Linked DNA regions of Pelodiscus sinensis. The protein of the gene in region 1 interacts with the protein of each later gene in a pairwise test. Links are inferred from orthologs where the notes say so. Each region holds a gene or a part of one and is shown on either strand. Other genes may lie near its edges. The genes, in order: HOMER3, MOS, FRYL and EAF1.

Region 1 (7,433 bases):
ATCTTTAACTGTCTCTAAAATGTCATCTAAAATGTCTCAGTCTCCTTCTTTGGAGAACGGTCTGAGTTCTCCAGCAGTGAAATACCCAAAGAAATTGCTGTGCTCTCTTGCTCTCTCTGTCTGGTGCCAGAGGCATGCAAAGAATGATTGAATTCTACTGCTTCCTTTTCTCCTTCGAAACATATATATGGCTGCATCTAGACTGGCAAGTTTTTCCTCAAAAGCAACTGCTTTTGCAGAAAAACTTGCCAGCTGTCTACACTGGCCGCTTGAATTTGCGCAAGAACACTGATGATCTCATGTAATATTGTCAGTGTTCTTCCACAAACACTATGCTGCTCCCGTTCGGGAAACAGCCCTCTTGCACAAGAGGGCCTGTGTAGACAGCTAAAAACTGTTTTGCGCAAAAAAGTCCCGATGGCAAAAATGGCAATCAGGGCTTTCTTGCGCAAAACCGCGTCTAGATTGGCATGGACGCTTTTCCGCAAAAAGTGCTTTTGTGCAAAAGTGTCCGTGCCAATCTAGACGCTCTTTTCCACAAATGCTTTTAATGGAAAAACTTTTCCGTTAAAAGCATTTGTGGAAAATCATGCCAGTCTAGACGTAGCCATACAGTTTGCGTTCTCCAGTTCTCAAGTTGCCTTAGCAGCAGAAGTTTCCAGACTTAGGTTGAACCCACGTCTCCTGGGCAGGTGCTCTTTCCTGCCACACTACCACATCTGCTTAAAAAGATAATTGAAAAAGATGTCTAGAAACCAGGTGAATGCAGTCTAATGACCTATATAAATTACATAGAGAAAAGACCAAATTATTTGTTGTTTAAAGCTTCCTTCACACTACAGGTTAAAGTATTTTTACACTAACGCAGAATGCCAATCTCTCCTTTTGAATGCATCTTTTATTCCCTAAAACATCTATTTTACAACAAGGACCTCTATTTGCACACCAATTGTGGCCAGCTATTAAAATTTACTAAACATCCAACAATGCTCATGTTCCCAGATTTATATTTGGCAGTTTTGCAGGTGCTAATTAATAGCAGTTTGCACTTTTCAAGGAAAGAGCTAATGGTGGGACTAGCCATCAGCCTTTATTAAGTAATGGAGTTAGAGAGTAAGAAGATTTTACATAAAAAATGTAGAACTGAAAATGAGAAGGCTGAAGAGCTGCTGCAAAACCGTGATGCTAAGTCCTCTCTGATTGCAGTCACCCATTGTAGCAATGAAATGTAAAGAACTAGTTTGAAGGTATGTATCTTGGACAGTGAATGTGCTTTGAAAGGGATTATACTGCCATTAAGAATACCCTTTAAGTTTAGGCAGTGATCTGTTGTGTGCTCTTGTCTGTGTTCTCAGCCACTGTTTAAAGAGCTGTGGGAAGATTAATGGTGCAAACTTGACAATGGCTGGGTAATTAATGACATGAGGGGGGATGATCAAAATATCTAATTTCTGGTCTCTTCTGAAGGGCAGAAGATATTAATTGTCCTCCTTCAGCAGGAGAAGGCGCAAATGGAACAAAAACCCTGTTAAAGGACATCCTTACAAGGTTACTAACACCTGATTTTAGTGCAATTCCTGCTGATCTCATTACCCTAATTTTAACATGTAAAATAATTAGCTTCTAAGAAGAGCCAGAGATAACCTACTGTTAGCAGGTCAGTATGAAAAATACTGTGTGTCCTACTTTCAGCAGAGTCTTCAGTGGTTTATTGTAGTCCCTTTATCATTGGTGGCCAGGTTGTGTGTATGAAGACAGAGAAAATGGAGTAGAAGGAGTAAGGACCCAATTCATTCATGTCCTGGTGTTGAACTTGGCTCTGGGCCTGAGAGAGGAGGCAGTCTGGGAACTGCTGGTTAGTCTGCCAGCTCAAGTTAAGAGAGGCATCAGAAACTTTTCACCTGTTGCCACAAACTTTCTGACAGTGACTATTCAAGGGTCCACTTGCAAAATTTCAAAATGTTCCCATCAGTTCTAACACTTGTTCAGCTCCACTGGTGTCAAATGTTGGGAGCTCTGGCATAGAGGTATCATTGGTTTGCACTGCTATTTTAAGCATTGCATTATCTCACTTTTCTCAGAAAAGGTCTAGCTGTAGTTGACGTGATGGTTAAAACACTGGCACGTGCTTTGTCCCAGCACTGTGAATGCTGGTGACAAAGGATGAGGATTCTAGATACATTTGAAAGGCAGGTGGAGGGGATAATAGAGAGAGGAGGGGACCAGCATCAGTACTGTTGCAGTATCTAAAGGTCCGAATTAGGCACCTGGCTACATTATGCTAGGCACTCTGCACAAATATAACAAAAAGTCCCATGCCCCAAAGAGCTTACAGTCTTATCTAGGGAAAACCTCCTGTTTGTCATCCTTATATAAGCTCCATCTAAATACTGCTCAAAGAACAGCTGCTTTTCCTGAGTTTCCTGGGGAAATGACATGGGCACAGCTTATCATTATAGTGCAAGCCTGCAGTGCCCAGAAATTATGAGGGCATGGAAAGTAAAGTTCAGAACTGCCTGGAATTAATGCAAACTCTTTTCCTTATTAATGTGGGCGACCTAATAAAATACAAGCAAAAAATGAGATTGGACTCGTGCAGTAGCCACACATTTGAACACCACAGCCAATCTGCTCAGGTCAGGCCTGCTGTTAGACTAGTGGGAGGTTGAAACACCGTGGTAGTGCCTTTTGTGGGAGCCCTGTTTGTGGCATTGCTATAAATCAAGGCTGATTGGAAGAGCTGTGTTCATTGGGATGGGGAGAAGCCCAGGAATACTGTCTTGCTGCAGTAAATGTGAACATTTGCACAGCGGTTGCCTGCTCTAGTGAGTGCATGTGCTCACACACTCAGACCCAGGTACAAATGTAGCTGCCAGAATTTAATGGGCAAAGTATCTACAACAGACCATTGATTCTCCCCACCCCATCCACCTCCAGTGTAGCTGGTACTGTTCATGGCGAGATGTGATTGACTGATTTATGTTGGTCCCTAAGACAGAAAAACAGTGCCTTAAATTTTGCTGACATAATGTAGACTTACTGTAACTGTATGTTCCTTATTAACAACTTGGAGACAAATATATACCCTGTGTTGCTCTGCTTTGTGTCTTATCATTTGCAGTGGCACAAAGGAACAGGGGTCACCAAATTAAATTAACAGGTAGCAGGTTAAAAGCAAACAGGGAATTTTCTTCATGAAGCGCACAGTCAACCTGTGGAACTCCTTGCCAGAGGATATTGTGAAGACCAGGACTTTAACAGAGTTCAAAAAAGAACTAGATATAAATCCATCAATATTTATTAGCCAGAATGGGCAGGGACAGTGTCCCTAGCCTCTGTTTGTCAGGGGCTGGGAATGGATGACAGGAGAGGGATCATTTGAGGATTACCTGTTCTGTTCATTCCCTCTGGGGCATCTGACACTGGCCACTGTCGGAAGACAGGACACAAGGCTAGATGGACCTTTGGTCTGACCCAGTCTGGCCGTTCTTATGTAACGGGGATGTAAAATGTTGCCCTTCTAATCTGGTAGCATTTTGCACTGGCACAAATGATTGCAAAAGGTACAAGTCACCAGAGAGCTGAGCACATAATCATCCAACTATATAGGGCTATGCTCATCCCTGGTGTAATGCTGGGGAAGTCCGTGGACTTTCACCTGGGGAGGGTCTGGCCCATTGTGTTTGAACAGCACTCAGCACAATAGCGTCTCAGTTCTGATTAAAGCCTTGAGTATTCTCATAATAGGTATGTTTGCTGCAACTGCTAAGCTACTTATTATATGCATTAAGATATTTTTAATACCGTCTAATCTGTTTGCATCCTTGGGGCCTAGTGCTTCTGTTTGTCTGTCTCCATCTCTAGATTCTGGTGTGTTTATCCATCCAACCTTCCCTTTTGTTCATACATTTTCTCTAGAGGCCTCTGTCTTCATTGCTTCAAACCTAGTTCAGCTATTTTCACCTGTGCAAAGTGGATGTAAAATGTAACCAGATGTACATGCCAGTGTTTCGCACTCGCCCTGCACAGCTATAGATGTCAGTGCAAGGAACAGAGCAATAGTGGGATCAGGCACTGTCTTTCGGAAAGGTTCTGTCTCTAGGCTCAGATAAAAGGTGTCGGGTTTGTTTTTTAAAACGTGTGCCAACATGCTTGAAAATGCTAGTCTAGAAAGAGCAAATTGTATTTTAACATGGACTAGCTGACCAAACAACTTCCCTCCTAGTCTAGACAAACTCAGAGGCTGTGTCAGATTACAGCATAGGGGTCAAACCCTGGAAGAAAGCCCAGGAACGAAGGCGGTGGGAAGTGGGGTTGGGGCATCTTTGTGTGGTGCTGGTAATTTAGCTGCTTGGTGTTACTGTGGGTGCACAGTACAGCTGTGCCCAGCAGATGGTGCCTCTGAGCCAGATGGAACCCATTGGAAATAAAGTCAGGAGAAAGAAAGAGAAATGTGACCGAGATGGGGCAGTTGGCAGAGGCAGGAAGCGGATAAAAAAATGAGAGAGAGAGAACAAAGAAATCGCGATCGAGAGAGACAAACTGTGGACACAGCTTCACTTTTCGGGCTGTGGAAAAAACTTACAGAGCAACTCCGTCGCTGGAATAGGAGGGAGGCGGCATTATTGCAAAGGGTTAGCAAAAGGAGCAAATAATCTTGTGGCTGCTGCCCATGCTGAAGGGAAGAGGGGATCCCCGTCAGCAAGATCGAGGAAGAAACTGCCTGCCGGAGATTGCAACATTTCCGTAGCAAAGTGTGTTCCAAAGTTCTCTCTAGGATCTCCTGGGCTGTAGCTCTTGGTGGGGAGATCTCCCACCCAGGAAGGTTGCCCTAACTGTCACCCCTCCCGTGCATGCTTTGGGATTATAGGTCATTTTTGTTCAAACAACAAAACTAGCGGATTTCAAAGTGAAATTCCGGAGGAAATTTATAGAGCATCCGGATCCGGAGAAAGAGAAGAGGAAGGGAAAAATAAATAAAAACGTGGAGTGAATCTAACACGATCCAAGAAGAGACCAGGAAAAAAAAACCTGACACCGACTTGGAGATGGGGTGAGATTAGCAGTTTGGTGGTTGTGTTGTTTATTGTATTCATGATGTATAAAACGTGGTGTGTTTTTAATATAGCAGAGTCGAAGAGATCAGGATTTCCAATTGCAGTAAAGAAATTCAAGTTTACATATAAAAAAAGGCCCCTAACCTTTCGGGATTCAGGATGTAGATAGTTGCAGAGATTTGTAAATTACTTTGTGACCCAGGATGTGGCTGGAAGTCTCCAGGGGAATGCATATGTTGTATACAATTCAGAATGGCCCTTTGGGGTGACATAAAGGACCTACTGCCTTTGCAGATGTTTCCAGAAGTTAGAGATTTCTGATTTTGTTTTGCTCTTGTGACCTCGGTATTCAGTAAAATGGACCCAACTTACATTTCTAAGTGGGTAAATAGTGTGACTGAAAAATCTCTGATCATAACCCGTAAATTCTTTCGGGGTGAAATATATTCAATCAGGCACTGGCATAGAAATGGAAATGTAGCTTGATATTTGATTATGCACTGGTAATAACCCCAACTGTGTAATTTTAAGGATCTGGCATGCTGCTGTGAGTAAGTTGCTTGTGTAATGAACACTTCTGGGCTGCTAAGAAGCACGCTGGGGCTGGAGGAAGCCCCTGCCTGTTCAATTTCTCCAAGCCTTTGAGTTTGACATTAGAGGAGAAATAAGTAACAGTTTAGTGGTTTGTGTTTCTTTTGCTGGGTTTTTATTTCTCTCTTGGGCAGCCGGATAAAAAGACTGAACAGGGTGAAACCGATTCAGATGGCAGGAGGGACATAGATACGGATTCTGATCTCAGAGTCTCAGTGTGAACCTAGAGTAAATCTATTTAAGCCAGTGGCATTTATACTTGGCCAAGTTAGATCAGAAACAGTCCCCTGTTTCTTGCAACTGCTGTGGCTACACCCAGTGGCTATGCAATTTCTTTAGACGGGTGCCACTTCTCATGCATAATGTTGACGCTGCGGTCATTGTGAGGGTAGTTTTAGATTTTACTACAATGATAGCGTCAAGGCAGCAATGCTATAGTTCATGTGCAGATGACATTCCTCCCCGCCTGGTTTTCTGTCACAGAGAACTTCAGAGCTGGAAGGTCTTTGTCTTGTGCATAGATTTACATGGAAATGTTGAATAACCAGCAGCAGGTTTAGTCCCCTGGATTGCTAAGGGAGTAGGAAAGCGGTAGCTTTGAAATGATTTTCCACCAGTCAGTTTTAGTTGATTTGTATTTTAAGCTAGCGGTCAGTCGTTCCCACCCCCCTCCCTTTTGACTCTGAACACCTCATGTGGTCAGATTTCCTTGTAACCCTTGTCCCAGTAATATCCAGGGTGTAGCTTTCATGGATAATTCATTCCTGAACTCTAACATATCCCTGGTGTGTGTAGGTTTTGAAGCATTGCCTTTTCACCTTTAAATAGCTAGCTGTAAATGTCACTTGGGTCACAGGAGAAGTGAATTCATTTACCTCCTAGCTGTGTCCATACTGGGCATTTGGGTCCACATTTCAAACTAGCATCGGACAGGCTCCGGAAATGCTTAGTGTTGGCTGCTGGGCGTGTTTCGGGAGACCTGCCAGTGCTGTCCAGGAGCAATGCTGAAAACAGTGAAGTCAGAGCTAAAGTGCATTGGCAGAGCTGTGCAGGCTTCCATGTGTGTGCCCCTGTTGTACAACGACACATGAGCAGAAACGTGGTGGAGCCCAGTGGAGTGTTCACAGATGGTAAAGACTGGAGCAGCATTAGCAATAGGTGTCTGGTAGAAATGCTTAGCAATGCTGCTGGGCCTTTAAGTGCCCTGGTTCCCTTCCCCAGGCCTGAACTTGCATGCCTGGCATTGTGTTCCTCAGGCTAATCCGACTGGGGCATAATCAGCCAGGATTCCTCCGGAGCCTTTTATCTACAAACAGGCTGGGAGAGAGTCACTTTCAACCTTCATGCTGAGCTTTGCTGGTTAATTTCACCACCACAGTGGGTGGGAGCTTTCTAGGAGGGACAGGCTGCGCTGCTCCATTCATCCACAGGGATGGGGCCGGGTTGCGGGGAGGAGGCAGGGAGGACTGCAAGTCCTGTGTCTCTGCACCCCATCTGGCCACTCAGCTCACCATTGCATTCCCACAAAGTGGTGGTGTGCAGGATGGCTCGGAAGTGAGCTACAGAGCTAAGAGAGCTTGTGAGCCGGAAGAGAAGAGGCAGTATCTCTTCTGGTTAAAGCAAAAGGCTGGAAGTCAGAACTCCCTGGATAGCACTCCCAGATCAGGAAGGGCATGTGGTCTAGTGGCTAGAGCAGCCAGGCCCTTAAAGACCCGCTGGCTGAGCCCTGCAGAGACAGAGCAAATTGGGTTGTTAGCAAGCTACACCCTGTTCACTCACTCCCAT
Region 2 (6,760 bases), on another chromosome or scaffold:
TTAGAAATGGAGAGAGAATTCTTTGGGGGGAAAATACAACAAACCATACACAAATTGTCTGAATTCTAAATGTCAATTTTGTACTAATTTGTTTGAGGCTTAAAATATTTCAAATTCATCTTAAGTACTTCTCTACACCCACCAACACTAGTGCATATTAATAAAATTCCATCACTACCCAGAGAGAGGACATTTGATCATTTTAAAAAATATATTTGCTGATAACTATAGAATCACTAGTGTTTCATGTTTTATCTGGGTCTGTTGTTTAGACTGTAATGTAAGCTCTGCTGGACTGGGACTATTTATTTGCTGTTTGTCTTGTACAGCAACAAGAACATTGTCAGAATTTAATTGTAATAATAAAATAAATTTATAAACATTAGATATGATAGGATAAACTCCAGTGTTCATTGGGGCTGATCCTGCATTCCCTTTGCACTTGGAACTCTTGCTCATTCTTAAAGGAGGTTTGTGTGAGCATCAAATGCAGTATCATTTGTTGCTTTTTAAAAATATTGCACTTAAGGATTGACCTTGCAGATGTAAAAAATCTTGCTATAGTTATTTCACCTGTGTTATACTGCAACTCTCGTGTAATAGGACGCACTTTACAATATTGTCATTTTAAAGGGGAACTATACAACCCTGACTTTAAAATCTCTTGTTATGTATCTGGTCCTAATGACATTTCAAGAGTCATTCAAACATCAAGCTGACGTTTCATTGATGCTTTTCAGTTGATGCAGCTTCCTCTCTGTTTTGTGTGACTAGAAGAAGCAGCCATTTGTTGGTGGTCTGGTTGTATTTCCTTTTCACATGCATAGGTTGCTATGTAAGGTGGAATTGCATGGGATAAAGTAGAACTGCTGTACTGGGAATTTTATTAAATAAAGGGGAGTGCACCCCCTCCTGGTCAATAAGGATCATGACACCAGATACAGAAAATGGTTCAACGCACATTCCTGCTAGTGCATCTCTTTCTCTCTTCTGAACTTGGGTAACTGAGAACCCCCAACAATGAGGGGCTTGGTGCATTAAATATAAAAAGACACTCTTCAGTAATGTGTTGTGTAATGTATTGTGCAGTGTTAATTGTGTTATACGAAAATCAAAACTATTAAAAATCTGTTTCCCTTTTTAAAAATTCTGCTTCATTTCCCCCTTCCTTCCCCTGCAACTGCTGTCATGCACAAGAATTAGTTTCCTTAATAGAAGACACATTTTAGGACCTAAAGAGTTTAACCTTATATGCTTTTATTACCAAAATCCAATAGAACAAACACTTATAAAGACATACAAGTTGCTTTCTCTGTGTGTTCATGTTTAGAGATGAAGGAACATAAAAAATGTGGAAAACATAGTTCTCTAACATCGCTACAAGCAAGTGACACCGATGACAACTGCAAATTGGAGAAGTTAGTGGAGGTGGAAAGACCTGAATCATCAACATCAGAGCAGAAAATCCCTTATAAAATCACTTTGAAAAGGATAACAGAGAGAAAATAGTGCACTGTTTGAAAGGTGCTTAACCAGAAAGTGGACTGTGTTTAAATGAGTTGATGTAAAGAAATTCCAGTTGACGGTGCCCTTTAAGTTATTCCTCCTGTTCCTCAGGCTAATGCTTTTCCTAGCACAAAAACCAAAAGTTCGAGTTTTGCTTGTTTGTTTGTTTGTTTTTTAGAAAGGTGTTGCATGCCTGCAGTGACTTTTGAGTTCAACATGATGTGGCCATTAAGTACCTCCAAAAAACAGAAACATGGAGATGGGGGGGGGGGAGTGGAAGAATAACATGAGAGGGGAAATTCTCATTGCTGAGATAGAGAATATTCTTAATAGGGCCGTTAATGCATGTGATTAAAAAATAATTGACTAATCTCTTTTAATCACACTTAAACAATAGAATACCAATTGATGTTTATTAAATATTTTTGATATATTGATTTCAGTTACAATACAGAACTGCTCACTTTATATTATTTTATTACAAACATTTGCATTGTAAAAATTATAAAGAAATAGTTTTCAGTTCATACAAGTTCAACTTAGTTCATTCAGTTCCTGCAATCTCTTTATCGTCAAAGAGTAACTTACAGATGTAGATTTTTTGTTAAATAACTGCACTCAAACCCGAAACAAAATGTACATACACTTTAAAGCCTACAAGTCCATTCAGTCTTATTTCTTGTTTAGCCAATCGCTAAGACAAACAAGTTTGTTTACATTTATAGGAGACAATGCTGCACACTTCTTATTTACAATGTTGCCTGAAAGTGAGAACAGGTGTTTATAGGGCCCTTTTGTAGCTGGGGTTGCCAGGTATTTATGCGCCAGATACACTAATGTCCCTTCCTGCTTCAGTCACCATCCCAGAGGATATGTCTCCATTCTGGCGATGCTTGTTTAAAAAAAAAAGTGTTAAATTAAATATTGACTGAACTCCTTGGGGGAGAATTGTATGTCTCCTACTCTGTTTTACATGAATTCTGCCATGTATTTCATGTAATAGCAGTCTTGGATGATGACCCAGCACATGATTGTTTTAAGAACACTTTCACTGCAGATTTGACATGCAAAAAAAGTACCAATGTGAGATTTCTAAGGATAGCTACAGCACTCAACTCAAGGTTTAAGAATCTGAAGTACCTTCCAAAATCAGAAAGGGACAAGGTGCAGAGCAATACTGCACTATGCACCCCCCTGCGATCGCCCCCCCAAAAGAAAATCAGTCTTCTGCTGGTAGCATCTGATGAAAGTGAACATGCATCAGGCCACATTGCTTTGGATCATTGTCAAGCAGAACCCATCGTCAGCATGGATTCATGTCCTGTGGAAAGATGGTGGAAGCATGAAGCAAATGAATCCTTAGTGCATCTGGCATGTAAATATCTTATAAAATCAGCTATGATAGTGCCATGAGAATGCCTGTTTTCACTTTCAAGTGACACTGTAAACAAGAAGTGGGCAGCATTATCTCCTGCAATTGTAAACAAACTTGTTTGTCTGAGTGCTTGACTGGACAAGAAGTAGGACTGAGTGGACTTGTAGGCTCTAAAGTTTTACATTGTTTTCTTTTTGAGTGCAGTTTTTATATATGATTCTACATTTGTAAATTGAATTTTCATGATAAAGAGACTGAACTACAGTATTTGTATGAGATGAACTGAAAAATACTATTTTGTTTTTACAGCATCAGTATGTAATCAAAGATAAATATAGTGATCACTGTACTCTTTGTATTCTGTGTTTTAATTCAAATCAACCTATTTAAAAATGTAGAAAAGATTCAAAATATTTAAATAAACAGTATTCTATTACTGTTTAACAGCATAATGAATCACGTTTAATATTTTTAATCATTTGACAGCACCAGTTCTTAATTTAAATATTCCTTTATATAATCCTCCAAACCTCTCATGCAGCATTCAAAAGGGCTGGAGCGCACAAAATCTACTAGACTGTCGTCCCCCCTCTCCTCCCGCAAGGCTCTGGTGTGCAAGGGAAATGTGGAGAACCCTTTCCCATTGGGGACCGCCTCAATGAGAGGTGGTTTTTTTCCGCTTCTCACTTGTGTGAAGCCCCCTGACTGACTTTTTTGTGGGTCAGCAGCCCCTGACCCAAACAAGGTTGCCCATCCTTGTTTTAACCACTGGGCCACTTGTCTTTCAGGATATATTGCTCTTGGTGCAAACACTGTTTTCACTGGCCTATAGAACTGCAGTGGTAGAACATGATGGTCTCCCAAGGAACGTAATCACAACAAGCACGTACGCACATCTACAGATAAAGCACACTCCAGGACTTGATGCAGCAAAGACAAAACTAAGTCTGTAAGAGAGACTTCTCCATTCTCTTTCTCCTGGCCACATGCTGCTTCACACTTCATCTTCTCCCTACTTTTCCACTGCCTCTTCCTCCCCTCTTGCTTTTCCCCCCAAGCTCCTATCTACTTCATCATGCACACTTCTGCCTCATCATACCCACAACTTTCACCCTCTGCTGTCTTGTCTATATTATCTATAAGCTCTTTAGGGTAGGAAAAAGTCTCTTACCCCCTTTAGATTTATGTTAAAAAATGACATTTTCTATAATCTGCTCTGCCCTTAGAGCAAGACTGAGTGGTATGGCCCTGGAAGCTGACAGTGTGGGGATCCCTATTCTAGGGTGCCCTGACACTTTTTAAATGCACTATTATCGACATCTATAATTCCCCAACAAAATCTAGATTCCTATTCCTTTCTCACATTGCACCCTTTCACCATCATCATAATTGTCCCTCACCAAAAGCAGGAAAAAATGACAGGCTTTGCAGCATGCCCCAAAGACATAGCATTAGGATATTTTGAATGAAAATATTTCCACTGAGGTCAGTGGGCACCAGCCTCTTATCTTGTATCATGAGCTCAAAAGTGGCTTTACTAACCAAGTAGGACATGAGAAGGGAAAGGTAATTTCACAAATAGGGAAGCCATCTTTGCCACCAATCATTCTCTTAACAGACTTCTCAGTATTGGCTTTCTCAGTTTCAACTGCTTCCTCCAGTAATAACTGAGAGGTGTTTAATGCACCTGGTGACTATCATTCTTGCCAACAGTGAAACATTTTACTTGGTCACTGTAGTCCATTCACTCATGGGATATTTTCTAATGACAGTCAGTTGGGGGTACTTGAAGTAACATTTTCTCCTGGGAAGAAAAATGAATACAAAAGGCCAGTATCTCATAATGTGAGTTGACATATTTTAGCCTAAATCCCATTTGTATCAAAGAGCTTTCTTTAAAAGCCTTGATTCGAGTGGAATTTGCTTTTGGAGTTGGAGAAAAGTGTTTGCAGCTGAAACTGATTGGGGTTCAGGTACTTGGTGACAGATGCAGCTTATTTGGGAGGAGAGAGGAGGGGGAATAAAAGAGGCTCTGGAAACAACTACTTTGTTCCTCTTTTTCAGGAGGCTCTTAGCCATTCTTTCTTTGTTTTTAAATACAGCTCTTGTTCTTATTCCTATCTCACTATGCCATCCCCTAGCCCTCTTAATAGTTTTCTTTCCCTGGAGTTTTCCCCTTCTCTGGACCTGAGGCCCTGCAGTAGTCCCCTGGTACTCCCTGGTAGAGGCGGAAAACTCTTCTTGGGGGGAACTCCGCCGCCGAGGGCTCGTCGGCTGCCTCCCCGCCTGGCATGGTGCTCTATAGACTGGGATCAATTGTGCCTACTACACCCCTTGGGCTCTGGGGGCTTTGGGGCCGTCTACAAGGCTACTTACCGTGGGGAGACGGTGGCTGTGAAGCAGGTGAAGAAGTGCAGCAAAAACCGGCTGGCATCACGGCAAAGTTTCTGGGCTGAACTGAATGTGGCCCGCCTCCTCCATGACAATGTGGTACGTGTTGTAGCTGCCAGCACCTGTGCTCCTGCCAGCCAAGACAGCCTGGGCACCATAATCATGGAATATACTGGCCGCACTACCCTCCACCATGTCATCTATGGTATGGGCTGCCTGCGGGGAAAGGGAGAGGATGAATGGGATGGGTGTGGCAGAGAACCCCTAAGCATAACTGACTCCCTGGCTTATTGCTCTGACATTGTGACTGGTTTAGCCTTCCTCCACTCACAATGCATTGTGCACCTGGACCTGAAGCCTGCTAATGTGTTCATCACTGAGCAGGGTGTGTGCAAGATCGGAGACTTTGGGTGCTCCCAAAAGTTGGAGAATAGTGTGTCCCCAGGTCCCCAGCTTTGCCAGCAGGGGGGCACATATACCCACCGTGCCCCTGAGCTTCTCAAAGGGGAGAGGGTCACACCCAAAGCAGACATTTATTCTTTTGCTATCACCTTCTGGCAAATGGTTACCCGTGAGCAGCCTTACTCGGGTGAGCGCCAATATGTGCTCTATGCGGTGGTAGCCTATAACTTGCGTCCTTCTCTGGCTGCTGCAATCTTCTCTGAGACAGTCTCAGGCCAAAGACTTGAGACCATTATCAGTAGTTGCTGGAGATCTGATGCAGAGGAACGTCCCAGTGCAGAAATGCTGCTTCAAAGCCTCCATTCACTGCAAGATAGACAATAGCAGGTTCTGTGGTGTCTCTTTCTTCTTCTTTTTCCCTTTTATGCCTGGCTTTTCTCTTGATCCTTTTTGTGTGTGTGTGTGTGGCTGCATTAGCATATTGTGGATCTGACCTCTATTTTGTCCAAAGAGGTTAAAAAAAATGTACCTGTTGATTGAGATTTCTATAAATAAAGTGATTAAAATTAGCTTGGTCAGTGTTGAGGAAATACATAGAGGCAGGACTGTCCAAAATGTGTCTGCTATATCATCTGCCTTGCCCAGGAGAAAACAGAATTTTGGTTTTGAACTATGGTATTTGAGGGGTGAAGTATGACTGTTAAGCCACCAAAAAGCATTTTTATAAATGCCTCAGACCAGAGTGATAGGCATCTTGTAACAATCTAGCTAACTATTTGCAAAATGTGAGATGGAGGCAGTATTTTCAACTGCCTCTGAAAATCTCTTCATGTATCTGTCTATTGATAACCTTCCTTCTCATTCCCAATTCTCCCAACAGATACGGATCATACATCCTATAAGTAGATGTACCGAGAACAGTCAGACATTGAAGATAACCTTTCTTCCTCCACTTCCCCAAATGTCAATTCATTTTATGTGTGATGAGTTAGGAATAAGGATGTTGGGTCACTTGTGTGCCTGTTTAGCACCCTGGCAACAAAGTAAGATGGTTTTTCATCAATTTAAGTTCTTAAAGATAAACTG
Region 3 (7,760 bases), on another chromosome or scaffold:
GGGCACCACATTTCAAGAAAGATGTGGAGAAATTGGAAAGGGTACAGAGAGGAGCGACAAGAATTATTAAAGGTTTAGAGAACATGACCTATGAAGCCAGGCTTCATGAACTGGGCTTGTTTAGTTTGGAAAAAAGAAGATTAAGGGGGGACATAATAGCGTTTTCAAATATCTAAAAGGGTGTCACAAGGAGGAAGGAGAAAATTAGTTCCTCTTGGTTTCTGAGGACAGGACAAGGAGTAATGGGCTTAAAGTGCAGCAAGGGAGGTTTAGATTGGACATTAGGAAAAAATTCCTAACTGTCAGGGTGGTCAAATATTGGAATAAATTGCCAAGGGAGGTGGTGGAATCTCCCTCTCTGGAGATATTTAAGAACAGGTTAGATAGACATCTGTCAGGGATGGTGTAGACGGAGCTTGGTCCTGCCTTGAGGGCGGGGGGCTGGACTCGATGACCTCTCGAGGTCCCTTCCAGTCCTAATCATGATTCTATGATTCTATGTATATTTATTAAATGCGGTAACACTGACTATTTGAAAGAGGATATAGATGTTGAGAAGGTTCTGGTTTTTTTGGTTCAACTGTGATAATTATTTTCATTCATTTTAGATTGTAAATACAGGCAGTCCCCGGGTTACGTACAAGATAGGGACTGTAGGTTTGTTCTTAAGTTGAATCTGTATGTAAGTTGGAACTGGCGTCAGCCGCTGCTGAAACTGATCAGTTTCAACCGTGGCTGAATCTGGATGCCAGTTCTGACTTACATACGGATTCAACTTAAGAAACCCAGGCGTCCCCAAGTCAGCTGCTGCTGAAACTGATCAGCGGCTGATTCCAGGAAGCCTGGGGCAGAGCAACTCTGCCTCGGGCTTCCTGTAGTCAGCCGCTGGTCAGTTTCAGCAGCGGCTGACTTGGGGACGCCTGGGACAGAGCAGCTGGGGTGCTGCTGGGTTGCTCCAGTAGCGCGGCTCCTCGGCGCTACTGGAGCAACCCAGCAGCACCCCAGCTGCTCTGCCCCAGGCATCCTGATTCAGCCGCTGCTGAAACTGACCAGCAGCGGCTGAATCAGGATGCCTGGGGCAGAGCAGCTGGGGTGCTGCCGGGTTGGTCCGGAGCGCCGAGGAGCCGCGCTACTGGGGTAGACAAGAAAAGCCTGGTCTGCGGAGGAGGGGGGGGCACTAGCTGCACCCCCCCCCCCCAGCAGACCAGGGAGACGGGGGTGGCGGGACCGCCCAAGTCCTCCACGGCTTTGCTCCGTCTCCCTGGTCTGCTGACCTAGGAGATGCGGCTGTCCCGCTGCGGGCGTGCTCCGCGGCTTTGCTCCTGTCCCCCTGGTCTGCTGGGGGGGGTCCAGCGGCTTTGCTGGACCCCCCCAGCAGACCAGGGAGACCGGGTGAAGCTTTTCTCGCCCCGGAGGACACGGGTGGCGACCCGCCGCCCGTGAGCTCCGGGGCGAGAAAAGCCCCGTTCGTAAGTGGGGATCCGACATAAGTCGGATCCGCGTAAGTCGGGGACTGCCTGTATATAGCTAAGGAAATCCTAGGTGCTTTTATCTTTTGAAGAATGCAGGTACAATTTAAATATTAACATTTCAAAGGTTTCCTGGGACAAGTCTACAAAGAAGCCCAAGTTCTGTAGCAGTGGTTCTCAATCAGAAGTTTGTGTACTCTTGGGGGCACACAGAGGCCTTCCAGGAAAGGTACATCAACTCATCTATGTATTTACCTAGTTTTACAACAGGCTCCCCATCCCCCAACTTGTTCCATTTTTTTATCCTACTTTTGACTCCCTCCACCAGTTATTTAGGATCCCTCCCTGTGTCCTTCCATACCCCTTATGTGTTCTTTGCCTATACCCTACTGTATTTCATCTTTTAGAAGTCAGTTCTCTTTCTCCTAAATTGCAATGCAAGAGCTTAAATGGGGGGAGGAAGGGAAATCAGGGATGCTCTCCCAAATTCCACTTGTGCCAAATCAATTTCCTGTAATACCTTTTGAGAGATGTTACTGTATTAAGATCTTGCTGTATCATTATGGGTTGGGATTGTATGTAATTCTAAGGGAGAGAACAGTCTGGTGATTAGGCAAATTGGCTCAGTTTGTAACATCCTCAGAGAAGTACCACCACCTGGAGATTCTCTCATATATTATAGTACATACTGGATTCTCCAGAGCGCAACAGAAAAAGAAAAAACTGTTGAATAAGTAGCCTGAGTTTCAGCTGATTCTGATTCAGCAAACAGAACCTTCTGTGCCAGAAGGTCCCCAAATCCTTGCAGAAGTATTGGAAAATTTGATTTAGGAAGGCCACAAAACAGATGATGCATGGAAAGCTTTTTAGTATGTGTGTAGGTTTTCATTGTTTTTAATGTTTTTCCTGCAATGCTTTCAGTTTAATAAATGTGCTAGCTTAGAAAAAGCTGTGTGGCAGCCTATAACTGCAGGCAGTGTGGTGGTTATAGCCACTGGGGAGAGAACCAATAGGAAGATGTTTGCCTTTTATACAGTTGGCTTTTTTTATGCAGTCCTCTCCTGACAGGAAAAACAGAAATCCTCCATTAGTCTTAGCTTTATACCTCATAGTTTTAGTTAGTTTGACCTTTTTCAATGTTCACTTTGTTTCCGGGGGGGAAAAAACCCGGCACCCACCGTGGTGGCGCAGCTTTTTGTCTCTGCGACAATGCCAGGTTCTCCTGGCTTCAAAAAATGTGATTCATGCAGAGACTCAATGCCTACCTCAGAGGGCTATGCCTCATGTGTCAAATACCTGGCAGAGTCTCAAGTGGCGCAAAAGTGCCCTTGTTGCCTGAATATGACGGCAAGGGCCAGAAAAGACTCTGAAACATGGCTCAAGACTATTCTCTAGGAAAACTCTCTTCAGTTACCAAGGAACAAACTAGATGAGATGCCAGCACAGCAAAAGCTCTCGGGTAGGGCAGCTTCCTCACCCCACAAAGGCTCTCAACACCGGCACGCTCCCTGTTCGAGCTGCCTAGAGCCTCTCATTCCCTGATGCCACCAGTCTCTGGTACCATGGAGAAACGCAAGTCAGTGCCAGTCAGGAGAGCTGAGGCACAAATTAAGACTGCCACATCAACTGGTGCCATTGAGGTAGCAGCTTCAGATAAGCTGCATATGCCTCCTCCATCAGCTCCGGTGAACTCTCCCTCTGCACCCAATCTAACTGGGCAGAGTGATTTTGACTGCTCTATGGCACCGCAGCACAAGAAAGCGCTGCACAAAACGTGGCACTTATAAAAATCTCCTCAGCCTGAATCAAGAGGAGTAACTGCCTCACCATGCTCCATGGCGCAGGGGCACGCTAACACTTCAGAGTGGCCCCAACTTGCCTACACCACTATCTCCAAGATCTGATTATGGTAGCGGGCATAGGAGCAGGCTCTCATCACGCCATTCCTCTCCTTCTCTATCACTAACTTCCTGGAATTCATACAGGAATCACTCCCTTCAACCACATCCTATTTGGCCCAGCCAACCATGGATGTTTCCTCCACATCAGCTCCTACCTCAGTGGAGCCCGTGGGATACATGGCATGGATATCAACCGTGGTCCTCCCACACTTACCATTCAAGGCACATAGCCTCTACATCTCAGCAACACCGCACCTCCAGGCGCTCATCCACAATCTCTGATTGCTCCTCACCTGCTTACCTGCCCTCAGTAATTTCTCAGGCAGGTTCCAGTGAGTATGACAACTTACTTCAATCAGATTCAGAGACCTCATCACATAAACCCCGATCCAGGCAGGTGGAAGCAGTATTCCAGATTTCATATTCTCCCCTGTCAGATGGGTGGAGTGGGCAAGGGCTGCATGTAACCTTGCATGTTACCCGATTAGCCCAGGCTCATTTGTTAACCATGTAAACAGTTACGCTTAGTAGAGGGCATGCAAGTAAACAGAATGGTCATCCTGCTTTGGTCATCCTAAGTAGCAAGCAAAGCAATGTGGGCTACCAGGTGACAGACACGGCAAGTGCACATCAGTTGTTTTGAGATGGGGATGCATTTACACCTACTTTGCTGCATGTAAGTTCATCCCACATCTCTATAAACTCACTTCAAGTGGCTTTTATAAAACCTACTAAAACACCAAATGATTTTATCAAAAAATAATTTTGTGGACACAAGGCAACTTAATGTGAAATAGCTCAAATTAATCTGCAATAGTTTCCAAGTATAGCTAACACCTTAGTTTTAGTTATTTGGTAATATCTGTATAATCCGTTATTACATTGTGAAACCCAGAAGTCAGTAGGTTTTATTTTATGTAGCCTATTTTGTATGATTTACTGTGTGAGAATTTCTGTGAGGACTAATTTTAAAGGCAAGTTTGAGGGGAAAAAAGATAAAATAAAATACATTATAAAATAGTTTTGTGTACTTAAAATTAGAATTTTCGTGGGCGAGATAATTTTGTTAATCAGGGTTTGAAAATACAGCTTGGCGCCTGAGCTGCTTTTTGTCAGTAAAATCTGCTTCTAAAAATGTCTAGTCTGATCATTAATAGACATTCAAAACAAGAAGCAATGTACAAATAATTCTTGAATGTTGTGGTATTTTCTTCATAGTCACAAATGGGGTAAAAACCAACTTCACTTGTGTGTTTATAGATCTCTAATTTTAGTTTTAAATGGTTTGATGTCTTTAATTATTTGCTGATTTTTATTCCCAAATGTAAAAGCGTGGAATAAAGAATAAGAGGTTTTTCTGTGTGGTAGCATAAGCAAATGTTAATGCACCATTTGCAAAGCTGTTCAAGAATGTAATTTGTTCAAAGCATGGAATATTTGAGCTGTTAGTAACTCTGTTTGTAAAGCTGAGAAATGGGTTTCTAAATGATAACACTTATCTGTGAATGCAGAAGTATGTGCCTCCCTGTGCACTTAATTGAAATGAAGAGCTAATTAACTGTCAAAATAAATTTGCATTTTTAGATGTTTTATAACATTTTGGTTTAAAATCATGGTAGTGTTAAATATGTTTTTGTTTTGTGGCAGTTGATCAACTCTTGTATATTCCAGTAACTTAATTGCTTATTTTGTTTTGTTATCAGTCTGTACAGTAAACTGTCTTTGAAATCAGCCTGCCAGCAGCTGGCAGCTGACCTGCTGGTTTTGGCACCACCCAGGTTCAGCATGACATCACTGTGTAAAGTAGCTCAAGTAGTCCACCTTACTGATTCTTCAAGGAAGTTTGTACAAGCACCTGGGTGTGTGTTATGTAGCTAGTCTAATTCGTGTTGGGGAAAGTAGACGGAACAAAACAAAAAAATGGACTTTTTAAAAAAAGTAGTTCCTGCTGTAATTTCTGGAGATGTGGTACTGGATATTGGAAATACTGTTGGAAGTTCCCCAAGGCTATTGAAGATGAGACGTGTCAGCCTGTTTTCGTTAGGGCAGACTATAGATGAAGAAGATCAGATAGATTTCTCACCTTCAAATTACAGCATGTATCCACAGCACCAACTTGGTAAAGTAAAACTTCATTAACTATTGTAAACTTTTTCTCTGATGAAATAATCTGAATTGTTGTTGAGTATTAGAAAAGGCTTTTTTTCAGAAAGCCATTACGATTGTGGATGTTTTTCTTCTGTTTTAATCTATAGTTTCAAAAGTGTTTAAACCAATAGTTAATATTTTGTGAAATTGTTTAAATAATATCATAATTAAGGGTGTATTGTGTGAGTATATTACACATGTGCATGTGACTTTTAACTTAAGACGAACATCCATTTTCAAAATAAGGGTTTGGAACATAAAATGTGGCCCTGATCCTGAACTAGGAGATGCACAGGATTCCCATGGCCTTTGGTAGAGATCTATGTGTATGTAGGGGTCAGCTTACATGATTCTCAGTGCAGAATTCTATCCTTATACCACTTTTGTAAACTTTGTATTTTGTGTGCTTTCATGCTATTAAAGTCTCTTCTAAAGTATTTTTTAATATATTTTTTTAATGTTTTTACTTGAATAGTATGTGGACTAGTCCAAATTTCTTAAAAACATAAAGAATAGTTTACAACGTACTGATTTTTCTGTTGTGTATAGAACAACTGTAAAGTTGAATCATATTTCTTTTATATCCTTTAAAAACCTGATTTGTTCATAAAATTATATACAAAAAGATTTTCCACAGTACACATGCAACATGTTGATCGGTGTTTAAACATTATGCATTTTATGTTTTTTTAGAGATTAAATAAATTTTATTTACGTAGCTGTTTCAGAGGGTATATGGTTGAAGATTAGTTTTGGGAAGCAATTCAGGGCTTGATGACTCTTTCTAAAGCTCTAAACGGTCTAGGACCCAGCTGGTTATCACTCTTTTTTTTAGCTTCTCCCTCATTCCTGGTCATAGCAGTTGCAATCAGCTGCAATGCTCTGTGCTGTTCAATCCCAAGGGTTGAATTTCTAGGGGTGACAGTACCCTCTGATTGTAGGGTCCTCTGCTCTGAAATTTACCTCTTTTTGTGTTGTTTCCCCCCCCCCCAAAGCCTTTCAGACATAGTGTAAAATACTGGTTTGGCTTTAAAAAAAAAAAAAAAAAAAGTTACCTTGTGTTGGTGGATGGAAGCTAAGAATCAATTTTTTGTTTTGTTGGCCAAATTGTAAAAGTGTGTAATAAATTTGAATATATCGCTTGCTGTACATGTAACGTCATCAGCCATTGATAACTTATTAAAGGGTAAAATTCTCTTCCTGTTACGGTTGCCAGATGGTTTCAACAAAAATACCGGACACACTTGATATTACATCACAATCTACATTACATCTTATTTAGAAAATACTGGATATTTATATTTTCTCAATTTGTTTCCCAATCAGAAAGCTCAAATACTGGACTGTCCAGTTCAAAACCGGACACTTGGCAACCCTGCTTCCTGTTGCCAGCATGCTTAAGGATAACTCACTGGAAGTTCTTTTTTGAATGCTGATCCTATCAGTATTCACTGTGGGTGTGCTTATGCTCTATGTTCCTAGGGCCAGAAACTTATAGCAGCATTTATTGGTCCAAACCTGGGCCCTTCTTTTTTCCTGGAGCTCTAAACTGAGGACATAAGGGATGGCACAGTGCAATCACCTCTCCAGTTCTTTTCTATTGCTTGTAATCTGGGATGGAATCCTTCCATGTGTGGCATTCTAGCTTTTAGCTCTTCTGCCTGTTTGTATTTTGCAAATAATTTTTATTAGCTATATTCATAGTAGTGAGTTTGTGGATAGTAGGAATCATGGGCTTCGTCCTGTTCCCTCACTGTTTGAGGCACTTTAGAATGCCCAAGACTTCTAGGCCTGCCTGGCTTGTACGTGGGTCTTCCTGGTTAGTGATCAACACAAGAGCTGATTGTACTGCTTTGGGGAATAAAGATTGTATCCGACTGAGAGATCTGCCACTCGTATCCTCCTTGCCCTAGAGGCAGTCTTGTAAATTTCAGAATCCATAGGCATGAGGCGCGGTCTTGCCTTGGACTCTGCTACACTTCGTCTTATTATCTGGAACCTTCAGACACTGTATTTGCAGCACCAACATCTTCTAACTTGGGATCATCTAGATCTACGTTTCTCCTTGTCCTCTTCATGTCTCCATGTCATGGAAACATCCTCTTAAAAAGAGAGACAGTTTACTTTTTAAGATGTTTCAACTGGTGCCTGTTCCCTTCCTGCAGCACCTGTTGAGACTCTGTATCTTGAATTGTTGTGTTCAGAACTCCAGGGAAGCTGAGACTGGCACTGATTGTACTGG
Region 4 (7,485 bases), on another chromosome or scaffold:
ACCAACCTTTACATATTCAACAGCTCTTGGAGAGAAATCACAGGCATAAGCAAAGATATTCAAGTCCTCTTCTAAAAGTGGAAACAAGCAATTTCCAACCCCACAGCCTGCTTCAAGCATGGTCAGTTTCTCATCTTCAAACTATATGGGAGAAAGAGGCCAAGGATACAGCATGTCACTTGTGTTTGATCTTTATATTACGAAGATACCACTTTTCACACTTTAAAGTTAGGATCAGCATTTCAATTATCCGTCTAAAATCTGATGGAACCTGTCACTCGCAAAGGGCACAGCAAAGTATAGGCTTTCATTTAGATCACAGTAAGTTTCTCTTTAGAAACTACTAAAAACTCATTATTGATCTACTCATTTCAGCAGTGATCAAATTAGCAGAAACCCTCACCATTCGTGGTATATACAAATGGCGAAATTTGCAAATACTGGGAGCTATGGACCCTGGCTCCTGGGGGAAGCTCCCCGTGGCTCCCTAACAGGAAACTCACCATGGCTCCCGGCACCTCAGCGAGTTCCCCACAGCTCTTGATCACACCATCCCCTTCAGGTCAGGAATGGAGACCCCATGAATATGCGGAACCCCAGAGAGCAATTCCGCGAATCACGAGGGTCTCCTGTATGCTTTCCTCTATGCCCTGGCCCTTTTGTAAAAAGGGTGAACAAATGCATTTGAATATGATTTTTTTAAATGTATATTTTAATGCTTTGACTATTCTAGATAGTCAACTTTGTAACAGGGTGCAAAATTTTGAGCAACTTGTGTTGGAAAAGAGAGAGAGAGAGAGAGAGAGAGAGAGGATCTTAGATCTAATTTAGGACACTAAGCAAGTGTTCTAGAGCAGTGGTTCCCAAACTGTGGCGTTCAACTCCATAAAGATTGCAGAGCAACATATGGCAGGTCCCAGGTGAGTTGAGGAGAGAGCATCACACTGCCTTACTCAGCTCCCCAGCTCCTCTCCAACCAGGGCCATACTTAGGATTTATGGGGCCCTATACAGTACTATTAAACTGGTGTCTCTATGCCCAACAGCATTTGGGGAGGGAGATTTCTTTAGACACATGGTTTTAAAATCTTCAGCAGCACACTAACATATTTTTATAGAAAATTTTAAACCAAGATCCTGTAGACCAGGGCTACTCAACTTTGGAAGCCTCAGAGGCCACAATAATACAGCACATGCCGAGGGCCGCAACTTAAGTGTCGTTGCTTATACATGCAAATTGCTTCTTTCACACGGGTTGGCATGAATACAAAGCACTTCCCACATTCCCCAGGACTCCCGGCACCTCCTCCCTGGGGGCTAGAAACGCCAGCCCGTCCGCTTGCATCTTTCAATGCTCACCCCACCTGGCAGACGCCTTGCCATTGTGGAGCGTGTTCCCAGTGGAGGTCATGTTCAAAGATTCCCACCTGCAGGCCACGTGTTGAGCCCCGCGTAAACCAAAACTGCACTGCAGGCCGCAAACATACAGGCCATGGGCTGTGTGTTGAGTAGTCGTTCTATAGACTCACACAGTACATTCAGAACCTGACAGTACATACTAGGGATGTGGAAGTTTAACCAGTTAACTGGGAAGCATCACCCTAAATTGGGGGGCAGGAGTAGCTCCCCATCTGTTGTGGGCAGGGAGCTGCTCCAACCCCACCGGGGGCCCATCGTGGACACAGTCGGGGAGCAGTCCCTGTTCATGGGGAGCCCAGGCACCCCACAGGCAGGGACTGTTCCAGCATCCGCAGAAGCCTCTGTCCATGGGGGAGCCAGGCGCCCCACAGGCAGGGGTTGTCCAGAGTAGCCTCTGAGGAGCTCGGGCATCCCACAAGCAGAGCTGCTCTGTGAGGGCTGGGTGTCAGCATCAGCCCCAGCCCATGTGCAGGGGTAGTGAGCTGGCAGATCCAGACCCAGTATGATGCTGGGAGTGGGAGCCCTGTAGGCTGGGGGCTGCGCCAGCCAGGCTGCAGTGGTCCCCAGCCCTGATCTCACTTTAGTCAAATAACCAATTAAATGTTAGGCTAACCTAATGTTTAACTGATTAAGTGGGATTTTACATCTCTAGTATATACCTGGGGTTGGCAAATGCCTATTTAATGGCTTCATTATTATCTGAATGGCTCTTTCACAGGTTCAATGTGCTGCTAGTAGGTCTGACATGCTTTTTCACTTTTAAGTGAACTATATCCTCTATGGAAGAAGTAGAGCCACAGAAGAGGAATAGGAGGAGGCAGTGGGTAGACATTAAGAACCAGTGGTGACCCAAATTTTCAGGTACTCTACACATCTGTGTATTCTAAGTATAGGTAAGGATGGGTCAGTCTCCAAACTCTGCCCCAGCCTCCATTCCTAGCCACAGCTGCTGCTCCTGGCTTCCCCCACAGCCATACCCGTGGTCCAAGCTCCACTCCCACTCCTGGCCCAGCTCTGTCCGATTCCCTCTCCAATCCTAAACCATGTCTGGCTGTAGCCTCAAGGTCCTTTCCCCTTTCCAATGCTGCCCCCAATTTTGCCTTCCACCCAAGCTCCTCTGCTGAGTCAATGATGCAGTAATGTGGGGTAGAGAGAGAGTGTGGACAAATTCGATTACTGGTAAGGGGAGGCACAATAGGAAACGTTTGGGATCCACTGGTCTAGAGAGTGGGTCTGAATGTAAAATACAGATCAATTATAATATATTATTCAAAGATTTTGTAATAGGTTTTGGTTTTTTTAACTTTTGAAACTTTCAGTTGGGTCTTGACGGTGCCTCCTCTTGGAGACAGGGAGGGGAAAACAGGATGAAAGGACCAATCAAAAAACTCTTCAATTTTTTTATATCTTAAAAGTCATGGAAGCTATCAACTCCACAACATTGTGCACTTGGGGTATGTCTACTTCATTAGTAGTATTTGTTCCTTTATTTGTAGAATTAGTGTATATGGCTCACCTCCCGACATGCTTTTAAATCTTCAAACTCCCTAGTTGTCCAATGCCGATCTTTAAAGAAGTTTGTGCTGTTTCTTTTGTAAAACAGATCCCAGTTCTTCTGTGCCTCCTTCTCTAGTTTCAGTTTTTTGAAGTCAGACACCAAAACTTGCTCTCTTGCCAGTTTCTCAGCTTCTTCAGAGCTAAGGGTCCTTGCACTATGCCCTTTCTTTTGGAAAGCATCATCTTCACAAATTGGAGATACTGAATTCACATAATTATCAGATGTATTTTCTTGGGACATCCTGGATTAATCCACAGGAATACAAACACAACAGATTTAAAGTGGTTTTTTCCCCCCTCATGTATTTATTGCCATCTTTCATTTCAGATCAGACAACCTGGAAACATAAGAAACAATGAGAAAAGAATTATAGTTTGCAGTTCCTGTACCAGAGACTCCTCCCCAACCTCTCCCCCCAGGCAGCCGTCCCCCACTTCCTTCCCCAAACCCACCCTGTACCAGAGACCCCCCCGCCCGCCTCCCCAAACAGCCCCTCCCTGTACAGAGACCCCCCCGCCCGCCTCCCCAAACAGCCCCTCCCTGTACAGAGACCCCCCCGCCCGCCTCCCCAAACAGCCCCTCCCTGTACAGAGACCCCCCCGCCCGCCTCCCCAAACAGCCCCTCCCTGTACCAGAGACCCCCCTCGCCCGCCCCCCCAAACAGCCCCTCCCTGTACAGAGACCCCCCCCGCCCGCCTCCCCAAACAGCCCCTCCCTGTACAGAGACCCCCCGCCCGCCTCCCCAAACAGCCCCTCCCTGTACCAGAGACCCCCCTCGCCCGCCCCCCCAAACAGCCCCTCCCTGTACAGAGACCCCCCCGCCCGCCTCCCCAAACAGCCCCTCCCTGTACAGAGACCCCCCCGCCCGCCTCCCCAAACAGCCCCTCCCTGTACCAGAGACCCCCCTCGCCCGCCCCCCCAAACAGCCCCTCCCTGTACAGAGACCCCCCCGCCCGCCTCCCCAAACAGCCCCTCCCTGTACAGACCCCCCCTCGCCCGCCCCCCCAAACAGCCCCTCCCTGTACAGACCCCCCTCGTCCGCCCCCCCAAACAGCCCCTCCCTGTACGAGACCCCCCCCGCCTCCCCAGACAGCCCCTCCCTGTACCAGAGACCCCCCCGCCCGCCTCCCCAAACAGCCCCTCCCTGTACAGACCCCCCCTCGCCCGCCCCCCCAGACAGCCCCTCCCTGTACGAGACCCCCCCCCGCCTCCCCAAACAGCCCCTCCCTGTACAGACCCCCCTCGTCCGCCCCCCCCAAACAGCCCCTCCCTGTACAGACCCCCCCTCGCCCGCCCCCCCAGACAGCCCCTCCCTGTACGAGACCCCCCCCGCCTCCCCAAACAGCCCCTCCCGCTCTCCTAGCGCGGACACCGAGTCTTGCCCCAAACTCCGCCCCCTCTCCCGGTTCCTACCCGCGCGGGGCGGGGCGGGGCGTAGGCCGGGCCGGACGGCTTTGGCGGTGACACGCGGCCCCGGAAGGGAGCGGAGCGGGGCGGGCGGGGGATCCGGCGTGGCGGGGGCATGAACGGCTCGGCGAACCCGCTGCTGGACAAGGAGGAGCACGCGCTGCAGCTGGGCGAGAGCTTCGAGCGGCGGCCCAAGGCCTCGTTCCACACCATCCGCTGTGAGCGCCCCCCCCCTCGCGGGCACCCCGCCCCGCCCCGGGACTCGCCCCGCCCCCGCACCCCCCCCCCCCAGTGTCACGTTCGATTAATCCGCTAATCGAGTAGTCGATGGAATTTCCATCGGGACTGGGCTAGTCGCTCAGGGGGCGCCGCCCTCCCCCGGCGGCTCTTGCCCGATTGGAAGGAAGAGGCGCAGCGGGGACCCTGTGGCGTGGGCGCTGCGTCCATCCCTGCTCCCACCTTCACCCTCGCCTGCCTCTGCCCCTCCGCGGAGACGGTGCTGGGGGAACGGCTTTTAGGTTTGCTGCCCCCAGCACGGCTCCTGCTACCCCCCCCCCCCCATCCCTTGGTGCCTCTGATATAAGCCTAGGCTTTTTCGGTAGTCAACTAGTTGCTTACATTCCTTACCCCCCCCCATGTATCTTCCTCCTTAACCTACCCAGCTCCCCTAAATCCTCTCTGAGCCCTAGCCCCTCACTCTCCAGTTTCCCCTGCCACCACCCCAACTCTTGCGCACACCCCTTACCAGCTCCCCCTCCACTCTCTCTGCTCCCCTTTCCTAGGTTCTTGCCAGTTCTGTGGAAAGCAGCAACTTTCCGTTACAAATTTAGAGGGAGGGGGGGAATAAAGTGAGGTTAATCTGAAAGTAACTCAAAATTATGGGAAGGGGAGAGCGCATGCGCACAGAGGGCAGCGAGCTTCTTAGTGAATGTCAGATCAGATGATGTATCAGTTTAAATATTATACTGTGAAAGATGCAGGACTATGGTTTCACCTGAGAGAGTCTGAAAGAGGGAAACCACAGCCACCCAGTTTCTTAAGATTTATTGAAATGTCTATCAGAATCCTTCAATACAATGTAAAGAGCACAACATGTTGTCCCCTATTCCCTCCAGGAGGAAGCCTCTATCTCTGGATGAGTAATATTTAGCCAGTCTGGAAGATGAGTTTTGAAAGTTTTCAGATGATACCAAGTTTGATAGCTAAGTTTGCAGATACCACAAAGCTGGGAGGGGTTGCAACTGCTTTGGAGGTTAGGGTCATAATTCAAAATGATCTGGACAAATTGGGGAAATGGTCTGAGGTAAACAGGGATGAAGTTTAATAAGGACAAATGCAAAGTGCTCCACTTAGGAAGGAACAATCAGTTTCACACATACAGAATGGGAAGCGACTGCCTAGGAAGGAGTACTGCAGAAAGTGATGTAGGGGTTATAGTGGACCACAAACTAAATATGAGTCAACAGTGTGATGTTGCAAAAAAAGCAAACATGATTCTAGGATGCATTAACAAGTGGGTTGTGAGCAAGACAGGAGAAGTCATTCTTCTGCTCTACTCTGCACTGATTAGGCCTCAGTTGGAATATTGTATCCAGTTCTGGACACCACATTTCAAGACAGATGTGGAGAAATTGGAGAAGGTCCAGAGAAGAGCAACAAGAATGATTAAAGGCCTAGAGAACATGACCTATGAAGGAAGACTGAAAGAACTGAGCTTGTTTAGTTTGTAAAAGAGAAGATTGAGAGGGGACATGATAGCGGTTTGACAAGGTTTCACAAGGAGGAGGGAGAAAAATTGTTCTTCCTGGCCTCTGAGGATAGAACAAGAAGTAATGGGCTTAAACTGCAGCAAGCAAGGTTTAGGTTGGACATTAGGAAAAGTTCCTAACTGTAATGGTGGTTAAACGCTGGAATAAATTGCCTAGGGAGGTTGTGGAATCTCCATCTCTGGAGATATTTAAGAGTAGGTTAGATAAATGTCTTTCAGGGATGGTCTATAGTACTGGGTACTGTCATGAGGGCAGAAGACTGGAGTCGATGACCTCTTGAGGTCCCTTCCAGTCCTAATATCCTATGATTCTATTTTCTCAGAGTGCTTCAAGCTTCTCTGTTGGGGAAAATAGTCTACTTTTGCTCTTTTTTGCCTCTTACTATTAGGGATGTGAATGTTTTATCATTTATGTTTAACTGGTGGGAGCTGGAGCCTGGGAGCCTCTGTAAATGGCAGATAGCCTTATCTAGCAATAACATATTTGAAACAAGTTTTTACTAGGGGGCTACACCCTCTGCTCGCTGCGCTCTCCTACCCCCCTCTCTCTGGCTACTTTTGCTTTGCTTAGAGAGCTTGTTGACGCTGATTATGTCATTTTGTCACCCAGCAGGAGCATTCTGTCATCCAGCAGGAAAATCTTTTTTATATATAGAGAAAGATTTGTAATTCAAAGATTCAAAAATATACCCACCATTACCTCAAATGAGCAAAATTAGGCTCTTCTAGTGATAGAAGTCCTAGAAGTATACAGCTAAAAATACATTGGGGTTGTATCATTCTCACTTGCTTATAAGTCACTTTAAAGGACAATATCTGAAAGGATGAAGACAGTGGATCATATCTTCAGGAGAAACTACAGCTTTTGAAGTATTTAGAATGTAGTCATAGTCTGAAATAGCTTCAGATCAGATTATGCACTTTCTAAACTAGAATATTTTTTGTGACCACTGGACCTGAAAATTTAACCTGGGATCAGTTATACTGATTTTCCCTCCTTCCGGCATACCACTGTAAGATCTTATAGACCAAAATTCTTCTCTCCTTTATAACATCCAAAAACTCATTTTCATCATCTCTTGGCTGTGAGGTTCTATAGTACTTGGACAGTTTTATATGCTTCTTAGCATATATGCAGTGTCTTAGGTGGCACGTGACCAGGATCCATGGCCCCTTCCCCAAGTCTGCCACTGCCGCTGCTGAAACTGACAAGTGACAGAGCAGAGCTGCTGGGGTGCTGCCGGGTTGATCCCGCAACGCCACCGCTCACCCCCCTGTTCAGCTCCAGGCAGCACCCCAGCTGCTCTGCTCCGCCCTGCCGCTTCCCCAAGTCT

What was found.
Region 2: the proteins of HOMER3 (region 1) and MOS interact in binary tests that used the Homo sapiens proteins (3 or more experiments, as listed by UniProt). The two-hybrid records come from large-scale screens. The link is inferred for Pelodiscus sinensis from reciprocal best matches to the Homo sapiens genes HOMER3 and MOS.
Region 3: the proteins of HOMER3 (region 1) and FRYL interact in binary tests that used the Homo sapiens proteins (3 or more experiments, as listed by UniProt). The two-hybrid records come from large-scale screens. The link is inferred for Pelodiscus sinensis from reciprocal best matches to the Homo sapiens genes HOMER3 and FRYL.
Region 4: the proteins of HOMER3 (region 1) and EAF1 interact in binary tests that used the Homo sapiens proteins (3 or more experiments, as listed by UniProt). The two-hybrid records come from large-scale screens. The link is inferred for Pelodiscus sinensis from reciprocal best matches to the Homo sapiens genes HOMER3 and EAF1.

What each region holds. Positions count from the first base shown.
Region 1 is NC_134729.1:19,308,810-19,316,242, forward strand, and holds the start of HOMER3 (homer protein homolog 3), read left to right. Parts: upstream 1-4,428; 5' UTR 4,429-5,048; coding exon of another isoform or gene 5,049-5,053; intron 5,054-7,433. UniProt on the Homo sapiens protein: Postsynaptic density scaffolding protein. Binds and cross-links cytoplasmic regions of GRM1, GRM5, ITPR1, DNM3, RYR1, RYR2, SHANK1 and SHANK3.
Region 2 is NC_134712.1:64,407,320-64,414,079, forward strand, and holds MOS (proto-oncogene serine/threonine-protein kinase mos), read left to right. Parts: upstream 1-4,860; 5' UTR 4,861-5,008; coding exon 5,009-6,058; 3' UTR 6,059-6,243; downstream 6,244-6,760.
Region 3 is NC_134715.1:87,080,021-87,087,780, forward strand, and holds the start of FRYL (protein furry homolog-like), read left to right. Parts: upstream 1-4,739; 5' UTR 4,740-5,290; coding exon 5,291-5,489; intron 5,490-7,760. UniProt on the Homo sapiens protein: Plays a key role in maintaining the integrity of polarized cell extensions during morphogenesis, regulates the actin cytoskeleton and plays a key role in patterning sensory neuron dendritic fields by promoting avoidance between homologous dendrites as well as by limiting dendritic branching.
Region 4 is NC_134712.1:181,743,948-181,751,432, forward strand, and holds the start of EAF1 (ELL-associated factor 1), read left to right. Parts: upstream 1-4,467; 5' UTR 4,468-4,498; coding exon 4,499-4,601; intron 4,602-7,485. Other genes in the region: tRNA N(3)-cytidine methyltransferase METTL6, read right to left, coding at 7-141, 2,935-3,216. UniProt on the Homo sapiens protein: Acts as a transcriptional transactivator of ELL and ELL2 elongation activities.